Oryctolagus cuniculus: one gene and its partners. The protein of the gene in region 1 binds, or shares a complex with, the protein of each later gene. Links are inferred from orthologs where the notes say so. Each region holds a gene or a part of one and is shown in the gene's direction. Other genes may lie near its edges.

Region 1 (4,254 bases):
AGAGGAAGCCTAACTGGACAGTCGCACACGGCTCCTTAGAAGCGTGTTTGGTGAGACAGCTATACGATCTAACGTATTTTTCACTATCCCTTCAGTTCAAGACCCAGATCAAGGCGTCAAAGGCCTCATCCCACGAACAACTTTCCAAAGGTTCCCAAGGCGAGCTTCAGGGTTCCCAAATGACACTGGCCGACCACGGCAGTACAGACCGAAACAACTTCGCAAAAACACACCCTCCAAAAGAGGTAGAAAAGAACAAGGAAAAGCCTATGGAAACACCTGAGCTGAGTTCTCCCCTACGCCGGGTAAGGAGGGTTCCAAAGCCCACCGCCTAAACGAGGACGGCGGCGCGTACGAGTTAGGTGCACACATCATGCACAAACCGTCCAAGAGCACTGCTGGGAACGGGTTCCCCCAACACCCCAGCTACTCCGAAAGGAAGAGAGATTTAGGGAGTCCCGGGGAAGGCGCGTGGAGCCGCCGCCGCCGGCGTAGCGGTAACCGCTTCTACCTTGCACACGGGGCCGGGGATACGGTCTCTGTTTTCTTCCTCCACCTCTTCTGTCGTGACGCCACTCTTTGCCTGCGGCCCGGCATCTCTGTCGTCTTTTTTCGGCTTCTTCGCCTGCACCGGCAACCCTCCACGCCGCTTCCTCTTGGTGGCCGCCATCTTGCCTCGACACCACTACTGGCTTTTCTTCCGGTTCCCCCCACTCCACCGCTCGCTCCACTTCCGGTCTCTATGGTACCGCACGCGCTCCTCTATGGCCCCTCCGTGGCTCTCTGGCGCTTACTTCCGGTCTCGATGATACCGCTCGCTCTCCTCTATGGCTCTTCCGCGACTCTCTGGCGCTTACTTCCGATCTCGGTGGTGCCGCCGTGCGACTCTCTAGGCCTCCTCCAGCTCTGTGGTGACGGTGGCCGAAGCGGAGAGCTGGTCTGAAGATAGTGGCGGGAGCTGAGCCGCCCGCTCCGTGGTATTCCGGGAGCTGCAGCTCTCCTGCTCGGTGTCCAGGCTGGGCCGGGCTCTCGGGTGTCTGGCCCCCTCTACAAGGGTAGGATTTCCGGCGCTCGCGATCCCGGCCCTAGGAAGCGGGTGCTGTCCCGCGGGCAGCTGAACTGGTTGTCTCGGACTCTGGGAGAAACTCATAGGACCCGAGCGCCCCCACCCCGGTTGCCTGTCGGGTTGCAAGCCAGGTTGGTGGCGCGAGGTGGCCCGAGCGGATCCGGGGATAAGTGGCGTGACTGGCCCCCTAGTGCACCTCCTTTGTGGGTTGCGTGTTTTCGTTCTAAGCTACTTTCCCCGTGTTACCGTCCGCACTGGGAAGACAAGAATCCCCCGCAGGGTCACAGTTACAGTGGCGCCTCGCCTGGCCCCTTCCACGTTATCTCCGACCCCCGGCAGGTGCTCTGAGATCCTCGGGAGCGGGTGTGGGCCCCAGGTGCCAGGCAGGATGCCGCTGCTCACCCAGCGGATCCAGGACGAGAGTGTCCAGTACAGCCTAGTGGCCAGCCTGGACAACGTCAGGAACCTCTCCACGATCCTGAAAGCCATTCACTTCCGCGAGCACGCCACCTGCTTCGCTACTAAGAATGGAATCCGAGTCACAGTGGAAAATGCGAAGTGTGTGCAAGCCAACGCTTTCATCCAGGTACGCAACGGGCGCCTTCCAGCCCGAGAAAGGTCTCAGTAGACAAGTTAAGTCTGAAAACAGAATGGCGTTTAAGGTGTCTTCTCTCCTGGAAACATTCTTTCCCCATCTTAACAGAGATAATGGTGAATAATGATAATGATTGACGTTTAGAAAGCTAAACCCTAGGCTAGCCAGTCCTCTAGGTGTTCGGCTCATCTGATCCTCACGGTAGCCCCACACCTTCTGTTGCTCCCGTTTTACGTATGTGCAAACAGTTAATCGATTTGCCAGCAGTCCCAACAGTTGAGATAAGAACCCCAAATGTTTGTTTCCAGACTATATGCTCTTTAGTAGCTATTTCCCTTTTAGAAAAATGCTTTTCCTTCTTTTGGCTGTAATAGAGTCTTACACGGAAATATTTGTATGGTTCAGAAAAGATTTTGGATTCTGCTCATTTTTTTTTTTAAGATTTATTTATTTGAAAGTCAGAGTTACACAGAGAGAGGAGAGGTGGCGGGGGGGGGGGGGGGGGGTGTCTTCCATCCACTGGTTCACTCCCCAGATGGCCACAACGGCCGGAGCTGCGCCGATCCGAAGCCAGGAGCCAGGAGCTTACTCCCGGTCTCCCACGTAGCTGCAGGAGTGCAAGGACCTGGGCCATCTTCTACTGCTTTCCCAGGCCATAGCAGAGAGCTGGATCAGAAGCGGAGCAGCCAGGTCTCGAACCGGTGCCCATATGGGATGCCGGCGCTGCAGGCCAGGGCGTTAACCCACTTCGCCACAGCTCCAGCCCCTCAGTTTTGTTTTGTTTTGTTTTGAAACACCCGAGTTCACAGTTATGACCCCAGGCATGGAAGAATAAATAAGACTTGATTCTTCTCAAAGAAACTGAAAACTAGTATCACACAATGCATTGTTAGATTGTTTTCCAAATGACCTTAGCCATACTGATGGGCACAAAAAAGGACAGTTTTACATGCAAGAACGGAGAGAGGGGCGGCTTTGTGGTATGGAGATCCTGGCGCCCCATATCTGTGTTGTTTCACGGCCAGGCCGCTCCACTTCTGATCCAGCTCCCTACTAATGGCCTGGGAAAGCACAAAGGTGGCCCAAGTGCTTGGGCCCCTGCCACCCACACAGGAAACTAGGAAGAAGCTCCTGGCCCCTGTCCCTGGCTTGGTTCAGCCCTGGCTGTTGCAGCCATCTGGGGAGTGAACCAGCATATGGAAACTCTTTCTCCATCTCTCTCCCTGTGTAACTCTGACTTTCAAATAAGTAAATCCTTACCAGGAAAAAAAAAAAAAAAACGGAGAGAAAGGACCCTTCACAAGGTTTTGCATGGGAGCTCCATTACTGTTGCATCTTCACTGAGCAGTAATGTTCTAATGGAAAACAGTTGACAAAACTAAGATGTTTTGATTGGTAGTTAGGTAACATCTCATGGGGTCAGCACAGTATAGTTATTTTTAAAACAGTGAAACCTAGAATCTTATATGTGAGTTTTCAGTCTTTAATATGTGTAACCATCTCTGTGCTTATCTTCTCTTAGGCTGGAATATTTCAAGAGTTCATAGTTCAGGAAGAGTCCATTACTTTTCGCATTAATTTAACTGTCCTTTTAGACTGCTTATCAATTTTTGGATCAAGTCCTACGCCAGGTAAACCATTTTATTATAAAGACACAACAGCATTATACAGAATGAGAATAATGCAGTGTTATTTAGCATAAAAGCATTTCTTTAAAAGAATTTCTTAAACCAGTTTCTTTGTCAGTGGTTACTCTTGTGGACCCTGACATTTTCGAGTGTCAAGTAAGAGTGTGTTTATAGGGCACTGGCAGTGCAGCACCACAGGTTAAGCTGCCACATCCCATAACGGAGTGCCAGAAAGCAATGTATTAAAACATGTATAAGCAGTAATAGTGGAATTGTCAGGATAAAACTAAAGTATATTATCTAGAGAACCATAGCTGAATTTCGCCTAATATCCAACTTGCTTTCCTACAAAATAAAATAATTCTTCTGGGGATTCCTATAGTTTTACATTTATGGTTACTGAATTCCTCCATTCCTAAAAATAATGCCCAAAAGAAATGAAAACATAACTTATAAACAGGATTTCTTAAGAATGCAAACAAATTTTGAATACAATAAATTGCTCCCAGAACTGGTTTCTGCTTTTCCCTGCCATTAACTAGCGGTGTGATTTCTTCACCATTTTAGGGACTCTAACTGCACTTCGGATGTGTTACCAGGGTTACGGCCACCCTTTGATGCTGTTTCTGGAAGAAGGCGGAGTGGTGACAGTCTGCAAGATCAATACTCAGGAGCCTGAGGATACTCTGGATTTTGATTTTTGCAGCACCAACGTTATTAATAAAATTATTCTGCAGTCAGAGGGACTCCGGGAGGCATTTTCCGAGTTGGATATGACAAGTGAGGTCCTACAGATCACCATGTCTCCTGAAAAGCCTTATTTCAGGTACTTGAGAGCAGTATAGTTATGGTTATTTGGTCTGTATGCTGTCTCCTCACTGAAGATGTAGAATTTTTATGGTCCAACTTAATAGAATTTTCAGAACTTCCGTAATTTTACAGCTCAAGAAACTTAAGACCCAAGA
Region 2 (4,109 bases), on another chromosome or scaffold:
ATTTTCTTTCACAACTTACAAAATATTTGCATCATGACAATTCTGTTCTTGCATGTGCTTAAACACATACTTTAACTTCCTACATATACTACTGCTTAATCCCCTTTACAGGACCAAGACTTGGAACCCCTATCTCCTGACTACAAGAATGCGCTACCCTCAACGTGCTAAGGTGGTTGTGAAATCTGAGGAATGTAGTTTCGGCTTTAAAAGAGTGCTTTGTTGAGTCTAACAAATACTTGGAATACTCTGCCAGTAAGTCAAGTCGTATAATTCTACTTCAAGGTACTTTCAAAGACAGAATTGGCTCTTTTACAAAACCTTCCATCGCCCTACAAAAGGACCACATATTCTGTGACATTTGCCACCTGCTCAGAGGTCGCAGGCGCTCCCTACCCTACTGTCCCTCTTTCCTGTATATCTAGGCTTCCTCTACTTTCAAATCTCGGCTGTGATTCCACCTCACATCCCTCCAGGCTTCCCTCCTTCTGGCATGCACCTCACTAGACACTATTCCTCTAGTCCACTGGATATTTAATCTCTCCTTCTCTCTCTCTCCTATCTGACAGGCCTCTCTGTTACTGTCAACCTTCCAGCCGGAAAACTTCCAGAGTGACTCCTCTGACCCCGTGCCAATCCTCAGCAGGGGGACCCTGACACAGCCTAGGAATGCAGGGGTAGGCTGGAGACAGTGTTGCGCAATGGTGAGAGCGCCCGGGAGCAGGGGTGCATGTGTGCGGGCTGGTCTCGCACTCCATGAAGAACAAGGTCTGTCTCCGTGCCTGGCACAGTGGACGCTGAGCAAGCAGGCCATCCAGGCCTTCCTTGGCCTGTGGACAGCGTGCAAAGGTGAAACTTGCAGGCAAGGCCAAGGGGTGCTTTGGGAGACGGGAGAGACAAGGCCAAGGCCAGGAGCTAGACGCAGAAAAAAATGTGCACGTTCGCTCAGACCTCCTTCCCAAGCGGCCCCAAAACTTCCACTCGCGCGTCCCGCGCCCTGCGCTCGGCGCCCGAGCCCCGGCTCCCCGCCTCCGCCCCGGCCGGGCCTGGGACTCCATGGCCGCTCCCCGCTCACCTCCAGACTGTAGCACCGCCGCCGCCGCTGCTGCAGGGCTGTGCCTCCTCCAACCTGGGGCCGAGCCAGGGCCCCCGACAGGGACTCGCACCCGGCCGGCCGGGTCCCGGACGCGCGGGAGGGGCGGGAGCCCCGGGGGTTCCCGGGAGGGGAGGGGGGGTCCCGGGCCGGGGCCGGGGATGCGGTCGGGCACCGGAGCTTTCAGTTTGTTCCGCTGTTTGAAATTGGCGCCGGCGGAGCGTTGCGGTTACGTTGCGGTCACGTGACGCGGCGCCGCCAATGGGCGCAGGCTTGTCTCGGCGTTCCGGCTCGAACGTGGGCGCCCGGCAGCAGCAGCCACGGCGGCCTGGCGCGGCGGGGAGGTAAGGCGGCCGCGGCGGGCTAGTGGGGCCCCGGCGCCGGACGGGGCGGAGGAGGAGCCGCCTGGGGAGAGGGGCGCGGCTCTGGGGCGCGGGGTGGTGGCGATCGCCCCCTGCTTCCTCACGACGGCCTTGGAGCGCTGTGGCCGCGGATTTCCCTCCTGAGCAAAGTCGTTCTCCGGGGTCGTCCAGTGGACCTCCGTCTGCTGCAGGAGCCCTCTGGGGGGTGGGGTGCAGCGTGCGCCCCCCGCCCCCTCGCCGCGGTCCACCCGCCCTTGGCTTGGATTTTGCCTGCCTGCGACCCCCGGTCCGCCCCACTCCCTCTCGCAGCCCGGCCTTACCTGGAAGAGACCGGAGACGCATTCTGCAGCCACCATGGGCGGGCACGGGCAGGCCCCGAAGGTACCGAGGAGCTGCAGAAGTTCGTGGAGAAATGAAATGGAAAGATAAATGCGAATCGTCCGTGGACCTTTTGCAGCTCCCTGCTAGGATGAAAGACAAGGTCTTTTGCTTCTCCTGAACTTGTAGGTTAATGGAGGGGCTGGGGGGACGGGAGTATGGATGTTTTTGCAAGAGTCAAATAAACTTAGAATGAAAGCATCCTCCCGCTCCTCGTCATCAGTGCACTCTTAGGTAGGACAGGCAGGGCCTTTCGGATGAACTGCACCGTGCTGTGAGCCCTGCCGCCTTTTGCAGAGAAAGGAGAGACGCTTTCTTGAGTAGAAGAGGGGAATAATGTGTGCAAAGACGATGCCCGGCGGGAGGAATCAAAGGCTTAGGAATATCCGGGTCTGAGCTAAGAGACTAGGACGGATTGTGGTGTGAGTCGAAGCTGCAGCCAGAAGAGGTAGGGCCTTCGCCGTGCTGAGGAATTTTGTTCTGACCCGAGAAGCAGAGGAAGCCAATCAACAGCTTTTAAGTAGGAGAGACCCAAGATCGGATTTGCATTTTTAAGAGAGAGGCACCAGAGGGGATTAGGGTAGACCTGTTAGGCCATTGCTGTTCTAGACGCGTTGGAATCTGAAGAAGGGCAATGGGGAGAGAAAAGAGAACGGAGAAGGAGAGAGCAGTCAGAAAGAGACATATTTAAGAGAGAAATCTGCAGGCTTGGTGTTGGGTGGGGAGCAGGGAGGGGAGTGTCAAGGTTTCTGGCTGCCTAACTGGAGGACTGATGATGCTGTCCCTTGAGCAAGTCCCCCCTCTGCCCCAGCATAATCACTTTGGCCGGGGTTAGGGGTGGGAGGTGCTGGGGGAACCATGGTTCAGTTGTAAATGTTAGTGCGGAATTGGAGGCGCGCTTGCGACATCTAGTTGCTGTTCAGCAGGCAGCAGGACATCTGAGTGCAGAGCTTAGAGTTTTAAGCTGAAGAGGTAGTGCTGAGGTCGTCTACCTCTAGGTGGTTGTTGAAGTGTGAGCAGAGGACATTGCCTAAGAGCATAGAGTGAGAACCAGGTCAGAGCCCAGCCGGGGGGAACAGAAAGGGCTGACTTCTGATTAGACCACAAGGGAAGAGGATGGCTACAGATTTATGTAGGCGTGTATGTTTGCTTTCTGCAAAATCCCAGCATTTCCTTTGATGTCATCTGTATTTTTTGTGAAGTAGGAAGTAATGTCATTTCTGAGGTTTTAAGAACGTGGAGAGGCCAGCGCTGCGGCATAGCGGGTAAAGCCACCGCCTGTAGTGCTGGCATCTCATACGGGCACCAGTTCTAGTCCTGGCTGCTCCACTTCTGATCAAGCTCTCTGCTAATGCGCCTGGGAAAGCAGAAGAAGATGGCCCAGGTGCTTAGGCCCCTGCATCCACGTGGGAGACGCAGAAGAACTCCTGGCTCCTGGCTTCAGATCAGCACAGCTCTGGCCATTGAAACAATTTGGGGAGTGAACCAGTGGAAGGAAGATCTCTCTGCCCCCCTCTCTCTCTCTCTCTGCCTCTCTGTAACTCTGCCTTTCAAATAAATAAACAAATCTTTAAATGGAAAAGAACACGGAGGGGCAGGCCTTTGGCCCGCCAGTTAGGCCCCTGTTGAGGCACCTGTGTCCTTCATTGTAGTGCCTGGGTTGGACACCTGGCTCTGGCTTCCTGCCAGTGAGGATCCTGGGAGGCAGCAGTGATGGCTCACGTAACGGGGCCCCTGCCACTCATGGGGGAGAACTGCTCTGAGTTCCCAGCTCCCATCGCTGGGCCTCTAGCTATTGCAAGCATTTCAGAAGTGGACCAGTAGATGGGATCTTTCTGTCCTGCTCTGTCATAGACATAGATTGCTTTAAAAAAAAAAAAAAAAAGGCTTAATCTTTGTGGAGAATGAGCTGATTAAAGAAATAGCAAGATTGCCAAACAATGTAGCACCCATTTGAGGCTGTTGACCTCAGCAAGTCATGAATTTCCACATTCTCCCCAAAGTTTGTTATTTTTCTCTCTCTCTTTTTAAGATTTATTTACTTAGAGCCGGCACCATGGCTCACTAGGCTAATCCTCCACCTGCCTCGCCAGCACCCTGGGTTCTAGTCCCGGTTGGGGCTCTGGTTCTGTCCCGGTTGCTCCTCTTCCAGTCCAGCTCTCTGCTGTGGCCCGGGAAGGCAGTGGAGGATGGCCCAGGTGCTTGGGCCCTGCACCCGCATGGGAGACCAGGAGGAAGCACCTGGCTCCTGGCTTCGGATCAGCGCGGTGCGCCAG
Region 3 (4,202 bases), on another chromosome or scaffold:
TCACCCTGTCGGGGTGGGAACTGGCCTAATGAGGGGCGGCCTGATGGGGGAGACTGGCCTGATGGGAGGGGGTAGGCCTGATGGGGGGCAGTCAGATTGATAGGGGGGAAGCGGCCTGATGGGGGAGAAGTGCTGTGATGGGGGGAACCAGTCTGGTGTGGGGGAGAGACGGGCCTGATGGGGGGGAGCCAGCCTGATAGGGGGGAAGTGGCCTGATGGGGGGACTGGCCTGATGGGGGGGAAGTGCCCTGATGGTGGGGGACCGGCCTGATTGTGGGGGGGGTGGGAACAGGTCTGATGAGGGGAAGCACCCTGATGGGGGGGATCGGCCTTTTGTGGGGGGAAACTGGGGGAGTCCCCTATCTGAAGGGGGGAGTCACCCTATCTCCCTGACTGGGGGGATCGCCCTGATGGGGGAGGGGGGATCACTGAGCTGGAGAGGCAAGCGGTCTGCGGGAGGGGTGGGATCACCATGACGGGGGAGGGGGGGGCGGTAATCGCCCTGACTGGGGGGTGGTGATGAGGAAGGAATCCCTTGACGGGGGTGGGAGGGGTGATGACGGAGAAGGAATCGGCCTGACCTCCCCCAGACGGAGAGGTTACCGGCCTGACGGGGGCGGGGAGCGGCAGGACCCCGGCCCCCGGCACCCCGGGTCCCAGTCACCACGCCGCTCCCAGCCCGAGGTTCGGGGCCGCCGCTCTGGGGCGGTACTTCCTCTAATGCTTTACGAGGGCTTAGTTTCATCTGGATATTCTCAAGATCCGGACACCCGCGTCACGACGTCCTGGGGGCAGACCCCCCACCCCTGCCCCGCACGCGGCAGTCCCCATCCGGGGCCCGACTAGGGCCCACCCCTCTAGGGGCGTGGCCAGGTCCCTCCTCCCTCGGGGCGTGGTCAGGGGCCCCGCCTCCCCGGGGCGGCATCAAGAGGCCTCGCCTTCCCCGGAGCGGCATCAGGAGGCCCCGCCTCTCCCTGGGCGTGGCTAGGTCCCTCCTCCCCCGGGGCGGGCTCAGGAAGCCCCGCCTCCCCGGAGCGGCATCAGGAGGCCCTGCCTCTCCCTGGGCGTGGCTAGGTCCCTCCTCCCCCGGGGCGGGCTCAGGAGGCCCCGCCTTCCCCGGAGCGGGCTCAGGAGACCCCGCCTCCTCGGGGCGTGGCCAGGTCCCTCCTCCCTGGGGGCTTGGTCAGGGGCCCCGCCTCCCCGGGGCGGCATCAAGAGGCCCCGCCTTCCCCGGAGCGGCATCAGGAGGCCCCGCCTCTCCCCGGGCGTGGCCAGGTCCCTCTTCCCCCGGGGCGGGCTCAGGAGGCCCCGCCTCTCCCTGGGCGTGGCCAGGCCCCTCCTCCCTGGGGGCGGGCTCAGGACGCCCCGCCTCTCCCTGGGCGTGGCCAGGCCCCTCCTCCCTGGGGGCGGGCTCAGGACGCCCCGGCAAGGCCTCAGGCGGGAGCCGGCGGAACCACTCTGCGCAGCCGCGTTTCCGGGCCGGGCCGCTCGAGGCGGGACGCGTGTCCGCCGCCGACCGCGCTCCCCGGCGCCGACATGAAGTTCCGGGCCAAGATCGTGGACGCGGGCTGCCTGAACCACTTCACCCGTGAGCGGGGCGCGGGCCGGGGCGGGCAGGGCGCGCTCGGGGCGAGGCGGGCGCCCGGGGCGTCTCCGGAGCTCGTCCCCCGCGGCGGGCCGGCGCGGGAAGCGGGAAGCGGGCCGGGGCGCTGAGGGCCGGGGCCGGCGCGCCGCGCGACTCTGTCTCCGTGCCCGCTTCCCGCCGCAGGCGTCAGCAACATGGTAGCCAAGCTGGCCAAGACGTGCGCGCTGCGCATCAGCCCGGACAAGCTCAACTTCATCCTGTCGGACAAGCTGGCGGGCGGCGGCGCGAGCCTGTGGTGCGAGCTGCAGCAGGAGGACTTCTTCAGCGAGTTTCAGATGGAGGGCGTCTCCGCGGACAACAACGAGATCTACCTGGAGCTGACGTCCGAAAACCTCGCCCGGGCCCTGAAGACGGCGCAGAACGCCCGGGCCCTGAAGGTCAAGCTCACCAACAGGCACTTCCCGTGCCTCACCGTCTCGGTGGAGCTGGTGAGCGGCGGGCGGCCCGCGGGGGGCTCATTTCCAGTCGCACGGAGTCCAGGCAGCCCCCGCCCTTGGCAGCCGGTGGAACCCGCGCCGCCCCGGCCCCCGTGAGTCTGGGAGTGGTGGCCGCGCTGGTGCTGGGGATGCCAGTGCCGGTGCGAGTGCCAGCTCGGCCTCCTGCGCCCTGCTGGTGCACCCCTGGGGAGGCAGGTGACGGCTGGCCCCGCCCTGGGCCCCTGCCACCCAGCCCCCAGCTCCCGGCTTCTGCCTGCCCAGTCCCGGCTGTCCGGGGCATTTGGAGAGGGAACTGGCACACGGGACGTCTCTGTCTCCGCTGCTCTGCCTTCCAAATAAATAGAAATTGAATCAAAGACAGCCGTTTCTGTCCGTCTTCCCCTTAGCCGTGCTCTCCCAGGCCGTCTGCGGGCAGTGGCTTCCTCTCATTTTGCTGCCGCGAGTCAGCCCACGCAGGGCCCCTCGGTGGCTCCCGTTTCCTCACAAGGCCTTCAGGGCCCAGTCAGACACCACCGCGGCCCAGTGCTGCAGCTCGCCGACTCGCTGACTCACGGGCTGAGTCCTTCTTGGGCATGGCGGCCGCCTCCCCCGCCCCGTCCCCGCGTCTTCTCTGCGTGTCTCACTCTACAACCTGCGGTGACGATGGTGTTCAGCCCCAGCTCTGTGGAAGACGACTCCTCAGCTCTCTGCAGCGGGCCGGTACTCACGGCCTGGCTGGAGCCCCTCAGAGCCCCTCGCCACAGATCTGGATGGTTGAAGCTTCCAGCAGAGGATGAGCCGCGGGAGCTGAGCGGCTTCCCCGTGGCTTCCCCGCGGCAGGCAGCGTTGCGTCTGCCCCGCGCTCTGCTGGGCTGTTTTCTGGAGTGCTGTCTGGGGCGCGGCCCCTCGCCCGGTGCCGCCAGCCCGGCTGCCTCTGCTGGCCTTGGCAGCATCTGCGGGTGACCTCCCAGTCTGAGCAGCCTCCCTCGGGCTCTGCCTAGTCTCGCTCCTGCGTTTCCTTCCAGGCTGTATCGAGCACCTCGTGCCGTCTTGCCGTTTTTTTGTGTCCCGGTTCTGCCGGAACATCAGGGCCCGCTTCCCAGGTGCCGGCAGAACGGTGCTCCCTCGGCCTGGCTGAGTGGGTTTTGAGAGAATGTACTGACAGCATTCGGCTTCCCTCAGATAGTTCAACTTTTTGGTCCTCAGTAACTTGGCTTTTTAGCACGGATAGCAGAACCATTTTTAATTCTTGTCTTTCCAGATATCCGTGTCAAGCAGCAGTCGCATCGTGACGCACGACATCCCCATAAAGGTCATCCCTAGGAGACTGTGGAGGGACTTCCGGGAGCCCTGCATCCCAGATTCCGACGTAAGTGCTGTCTGCGGGCTCGCCCCTCGGGGCACATGAAGGGCGGGGTTTGAATTCTGTGGTTTTGATTGATCTTAGGGTGCGTTCATGTTTGTTTTAGAGTTGTGTAGGGCCTGAAGAGAAAGTGGCATTCATTTTTAGGGCTGTTCAAGGAGAAATCTGAGTCATGCCTTTGTTATTTGCAAAAAAGATCTTGAGAGACGATCGCGTCTGATGGACGTGCCATGCTCTCAGTGACAGCACCGGGACAGGCCTGAAGCGGCACCGAGTGGTCAGCTCGGGTCTCTGAGGACCCGAGTCCCGCGACCCAGCCGTCTGGATGTGTGTCACAGAGCCGGGAGGAGGGCGTGATCGTGACCGAGCGCCGTGGAGAGTAAAGACGATGCCCAAGGGCCTGGCCTCCTGCTCACCGTTTGCTGCAGAAGAAATTCAACGCTGTGCTGGACAGATGATCACTGGGCTCCGCCGAGGGCCGCCTGGACTTGGGAAAAGGCAGCGTTGGATGAAGCACACGGGTGACGTGGCCTCGGGGTGGCGCAGTGACTGCTCCCTGTCGTGCACAGAGCTCGGAAGAGGCCCCGCTGAGCGCCGCCGTCCTTCTTAGGTGCTTAGGGACAAGCCGCCCAGGGGGGCAGAGCAGGCATGCCGTGCTCCAGTTTTGTTTCATTGCTGTGAGTTAATGAAATTAGAAAAACGGGTCCCCTGTGTTTTGAAGAGCTTCATTCAGATCATTTAAAAGCAGGACGCAAGCGTGCGTGCATTCCAGAGTCAG
Region 4 (4,026 bases), on another chromosome or scaffold:
AAAAATAAATCTTAAAAAAAAAAAAAAACCAAAAAACAAACGAAAAACCACGAGCCCACGTGGGGCACCCACGTCCCAGACAAGGATCCCTGGGTTCAAGTCCCAGCTCTGCTTGAGTCAGCTTCGCGAATGCGCACCCGTGGCACGGGAAGGTTCCGGAGCTTGAGCCCCTGCCAGCCCGGTGGGAAGGCCGGATGGGGCTCCCGGCCCCTGGCTAGGCAGGCGTCTGGGGAGTGACCCAGTGGATGGAAGGCCTCTCTCTCTCCCTCTCTCTCTCTCTCTGTCACTCTGCCTTCTGAATAAACGAACGAGTGAACAGATCCTTACAAAAAGCCCAGCGTCGGTTTCACTGGCCCTCCGCTGACGCACAGTCACTATTCATGGGCCTTCCTGTTGCTCCGGCCCAGGGAACACTTCCCGAGGCGCACGGGCACCCTACCTCTGCGTGCCTCTGTCGACAACTGCCGAGCGAGGGCTGCAGCATTTTTAACTCAGCGCCACTGTTGCTCAGCCTCCCGTCGCAGGGAACGGGGATGCCCGGCTACAACCCTCCAAAGGCCTCCGGCCTCCACGCGCTGTGGTCACCTTGCAACTCGGCGGGAGCAGACGGGCAGGCTTCAGGCTGACCACTGCCTTCCCGGGAGGCGGTCAAGCTGCCGAAGTGGCGGCCGCGTCTAGCAGAGCCTGAGCCGCACCCGAGGTTTCCAGATGCGCAGTTCCGGGGTGCGAAGGGTGGCTCCTGGCCAGTCGGCTCGCTGACCGCACAGCTGTCCCCGGGGCTGGCCTTGGGCGCAGGGAGGGGCGGGACGCCCCCAGCTCCCGGGGTCTCCTTGGCAGAGTTCCCGTCCCGTCCCGCGGGCAGCCGGTCCGTCCCGGCGCAGCGCCCATCTTCACACCGTCCTCCCTGGGTCCAGCGCCTCTGCCGCTTCGCCCCGCACCTCAGACGCCTTAGAGCCGCGGCTGCCCAGAGAAGCTACCTTTCAGGCCTCCGCGGCCTCTCCCAAGCCGGCCTCGCCCGACGGCCGCGGGACGCACTCGGCGAAACTCGGGCGCCATCTTGCGTCGGTTCCTAGGGCCTCCCGGGGACAACCCGGAAACCACACTTCCCAGCGTGCCTAGCGCTTCCGAGCATGCGCAAAAGGCCCCGCTGGTTTCCATGGGAACCTGGCTTCCAGCGTTCGGGTCGCTTCCCTCGACGGCGCGGGCAGGGGTTCCTCCGCCGTTGGCGTGGGGTCTGCAGGCGGTTGAGGGGACAAAGTAGCGGCTGGAGCGGACGGGGCCAGGGCGGCCCCGCCTGCCGGCACCAGCCCTCCCCAAGTTCTTGCTGGTGTCCCGGCGTCCGAGCGCCCCGGGGGCTTCGGCGCGCTGAGGCGAAGGGGTCGGCCGGGGTCGGCGAGGCCGGCGTCCGGCTGTGGTCAGCGCGTTGTCCCCTGCGGCCGAGGACCTGCGCGGCCGCGGACAGGTACTGGCGGGCGCCGGCCGCTGCAGGGACGGTTCGCGCCGCGCGTGAGTGGAGGAAGCCTCGGCCGGGCCGCGAGCGCGCCCGGGGCTGGACGCGGCTCTGCCTTGGCTGCGTCCGGGGCCGGGGCGGCTCGCGGCGCCTCTGGCCTTCAGGGGCGAGGGCTTGCGCTGGGATTCGGGTCCCCGCTGCGATTCCGTCGCGGAGCAGCGCCTGGCTCCGTGGCACCGGAGGACGGCTCTGTCGCTGGCCTGGGTGAAGCAGGTCGCGTGCTCGTCTGCGCAGCGAGAGAGACCGGGAACTGGCGGGTTTTGAGCCAGAACAGAGAAACTCGGGTTCGTCACTTTTTAAAAAGATTTATTTGAGTCCGGCGCCGCGGCTCACTAGGCTAATCCTCCGCCTTGCGGCCCCGGCACACTGGGTTCTAGTCCCGGTCGGGGCGCCGGATTCTGTCCCGGTTGCCCCTCTTCCAGGCCAGCTCTCTGCTGTGGCCCGGGAGTGCAGTGGAGGATGGCCCAGGTGCTTGGGCACTGCACCCCATGGGAGACCAGGAGAAGCACCTGGCTCCTGCCATCGGATCAGCGCGGTGCGCCGGCCGCGGCGGCCATTGGAGGGTGAACCAACGGCAAAGGAAGACCTTTCTCTCTGTCTCTCTCTCACTGTCCACTCTGCCTGTCAAAAAAAAAAAAAAAAAAAAAAAAAAAAAGGCGGAGTTAAAAACAGGCGGAGTTACAGTGGGGCGGGGCGGGGCGGAGGGAGAGCCGTGGGTCTTCCGTCTCCTAGGTCACTCCCTAAATGGTTACAGCGGGCTGGGCCTGGCCGAGGGACCCTGGAGCTCCATCCGAGTCTCCCATGTGAGTGGCAGGGACTTGGGCCTCACCTGCAGCTCCCCCAGGCTGGACGGAAGCGGACCAGCAGCCACGTGGGATTCTGGCCTTGCAGGCCGTGGCCTAAGCCGGCGGGGCCCCGGGTTGTGACTTTGTTGAGTCCAGTCTTTATATCTCTGGACCCTGTTTCCTCACGTGCAGAAATGAGGATTAGGATAGGACCGCCTCCCGTCGTGAGGATTAAATGAAAATATTCGTGTGCGTTTTTTTCAGAAAAGAATACGCGTTTATTTGAAAGGCAGAGTGACAGAGATCTTCGATTCCATTCGGACGCTGGGTCACCGCCAGGCCCGGCGAGGCGGGGGGCAGGAATCCGTCCTGCTCTCCTACCTGGGTGGTGGGAACGAGTGCTCGGGCCGTCTTCTGCTTCTCGGTGCATTGGGGAACTGGGTCCGAGGCTGCGTAGCCCGGAATGGAACTGGTGCGGCGTCCCAGTCAGCGGCTTGGCCAGCTGTGCCGCAATGGCCGACTGTCAAGATTCGATGTAGTCTGAGTGTTAATTGTCGAATCAGCAACAGGAGTCACTGTGCACTAACTCCGGTGCAGGACCTCTGTCCTCAGTGAGCTGTGTTACAAGAGTTAACTGTACGACTTCTTCTCTGTGTGTGTGCAAACTGTTGAAATCTTTACTTGGTATAGAGTTGGTCTTCTGTGTACAAAGGTAATTGACAATGAATCTTAATGGAGAACGGGGCTGGGATGGGAGAGGGAGGAGGAGGCGCAGGAGGGCTGAAGTTGTCCTTATGAAGTTTGTGTTCCTTAAATAAAAGGTTTCTTTGGGGAAAAAAGAAAGATTGTATGTCAAAGACGGAGAGAAAGGGAGAGAGAGAGATTCCATCTGCTGGTTCACCCCTAAGTGCCTACAACTGCTGGGGCTGAGTCAGGGGGTAGCTGGGAGTCAGGACCTCCGTCTGAGTCTCCCGTGGGGGGCGGGGCCCAAGCCTGGGCCATCATCCGGTTCCCCCCAGGATGCAGTAGCAGGAAGCTGGTGGCTGGGAACTGTGCTGGCACCCGGATGTGGGATGCAGTTTTCCCACGCTGTACCACAGTGCCTGCCCCAGTGTCAGGTTTTAGTTCAGGGCCTGCATGTTGTAAGTTCTTCTCAAGTCCTGGCTATCATTTCTGATCATTAAAAAATAAATTCCTTAGGGGCCAGGGCTGTGGCATAGCTCGTGAAGCTGCCAGCTGTGGTGCCCGCATCCCATATGGGCAGCGGTTCAAGTCCCGGCTGCTCCACTTCCAATCCAGCTCCCTGCTGGTGCGCCTGGGAAAGCAGCCGAGGATGGCTTCCATCACTGGGCCCCGGCACCCATGTGGGAGACCCAGATGAAGCGCCTGGCTTCGGCCTGGCCCAGCCCTGGCTGTTACGGCCATTTGGGGAGTGAACCAGTGGATGGAAGATATCTTTTTTTTCCTTCTCTTTTATTGATGTTTTTAAAGATTTATTTGAAAGGCAGAGTTACAGAGAGGCAGAGGCAGAGAGAGAGAGGTCTTCCATCCGCTGGTTCACTCCCCAGATGGCTGCAACGGCCGGAGCACGTAGTAGAGAAGGCACTCTCGTCATTGCGCTCCGCGGGGGATGGGCGCACTCACCCGTGTGCTTCAGAGATGGCTGGCTGTTGAGTTGCAGTGTTTACGTAAGACAGGCTGCTCACACGGCTGTAGGAACGCATGCGAATC

Evidence for each region.
Region 2: the proteins of RAD1 (region 1) and RHNO1 are in contact, whole or in part, in a crystal structure (PDB 6J8Y), measured with the Homo sapiens proteins. The link is inferred for Oryctolagus cuniculus from reciprocal best matches to the Homo sapiens genes RAD1 and RHNO1. Residues at the interface, in NP_002844.1 of Homo sapiens: Asn47, Gly48, Ile49, Lys50, Phe64, Ile65, Gln66, Ser149, Lys155, Ile157, Glu211, Ala212, Lys240, Val241, Ser242, Arg244, Gln254, Tyr255, Met256, Phe266, Glu268; in NP_001239428.1 of Homo sapiens: Ser55, Trp56, Val57, Ser58, Pro59, Asp60, Phe61, Asp62, Thr63.
Region 3: the proteins of RAD1 (region 1) and HUS1 are in contact, whole or in part, in a crystal structure (PDB 8GNN), measured with the Homo sapiens proteins. The link is inferred for Oryctolagus cuniculus from reciprocal best matches to the Homo sapiens genes RAD1 and HUS1. Residues at the interface, in NP_002844.1 of Homo sapiens: Asn85, Val88, Asp91, Cys92, Ser94, Ile95, Phe96, Gly97, Ser98, Gly127, Val128, Val129, Thr130, Val131, Cys132, Lys133, Ile134, Asn135, Gln137; in NP_004498.1 of Homo sapiens: Thr165, Ser168, Val169, Lys172, Met173, Asn175, Ile176, Glu197, Leu198, Val199, Cys200, Val201, Thr202, Thr203, His204, Phe205, Lys206.
Region 4: the proteins of RAD1 (region 1) and RAD9A are in contact, whole or in part, in a crystal structure (PDB 3GGR), measured with the Homo sapiens proteins. The link is inferred for Oryctolagus cuniculus from reciprocal best matches to the Homo sapiens genes RAD1 and RAD9A. Residues at the interface, in NP_002844.1 of Homo sapiens: Glu165, Ala166, Ser168, Glu169, Asn195, Ala196, Gly197, Ser198, Ser199, His200, Leu201, Asp202, Tyr203, Pro204, Asp206, Ser207, Glu211; in NP_004575.1 of Homo sapiens: Leu76, Ser82, Val83, Ser86, Leu90, Lys92, Leu112, Phe116, Gly117, Val118, Arg119, Lys120, Thr121, His122, Asn123, Leu124.

Annotation. Positions count from the first base shown.
Region 1 is NC_091445.1:60,574,898-60,579,151, reverse strand, and holds the start of RAD1 (cell cycle checkpoint protein RAD1), read left to right. Parts: upstream 1-1,454; coding exon 1,455-1,652; intron 1,653-3,183; coding exon 3,184-3,292; intron 3,293-3,856; coding exon 3,857-4,115; intron 4,116-4,254. Other genes in the region: BRIX1 (ribosome biogenesis protein BRX1 homolog), read right to left, coding at 512-670. UniProt on the Homo sapiens protein: Component of the 9-1-1 cell-cycle checkpoint response complex that plays a major role in DNA repair. The 9-1-1 complex is recruited to DNA lesion upon damage by the RAD17-replication factor C (RFC) clamp loader complex.
Region 2 is NC_091440.1:106,446,525-106,450,633, reverse strand, and holds the start of RHNO1 (RAD9, HUS1, RAD1-interacting nuclear orphan protein 1), read left to right. Parts: upstream 1-1,309; 5' UTR 1,310-1,437; intron 1,438-1,449; exon of another isoform or gene 1,450-1,958; intron 1,959-4,109. UniProt on the Homo sapiens protein: Involved in microhomology-mediated end-joining (MMEJ) DNA repair by promoting recruitment of polymerase theta (POLQ) to DNA damage sites during mitosis.
Region 3 is NC_091447.1:53,481,245-53,485,446, reverse strand, and holds the start of HUS1 (checkpoint protein HUS1), read left to right. Parts: upstream 1-1,402; 5' UTR 1,403-1,536; coding exon 1,537-1,588; intron 1,589-1,768; coding exon 1,769-2,073; intron 2,074-3,322; coding exon 3,323-3,430; intron 3,431-4,202. UniProt on the Homo sapiens protein: Component of the 9-1-1 cell-cycle checkpoint response complex that plays a major role in DNA repair. The 9-1-1 complex is recruited to DNA lesion upon damage by the RAD17-replication factor C (RFC) clamp loader complex.
Region 4 is NC_091432.1:4,711,957-4,715,982, reverse strand, and holds the start of RAD9A (cell cycle checkpoint control protein RAD9A), read left to right. Parts: upstream 1-1,226; 5' UTR 1,227-1,462; intron 1,463-4,026. UniProt on the Homo sapiens protein: Component of the 9-1-1 cell-cycle checkpoint response complex that plays a major role in DNA repair. The 9-1-1 complex is recruited to DNA lesion upon damage by the RAD17-replication factor C (RFC) clamp loader complex.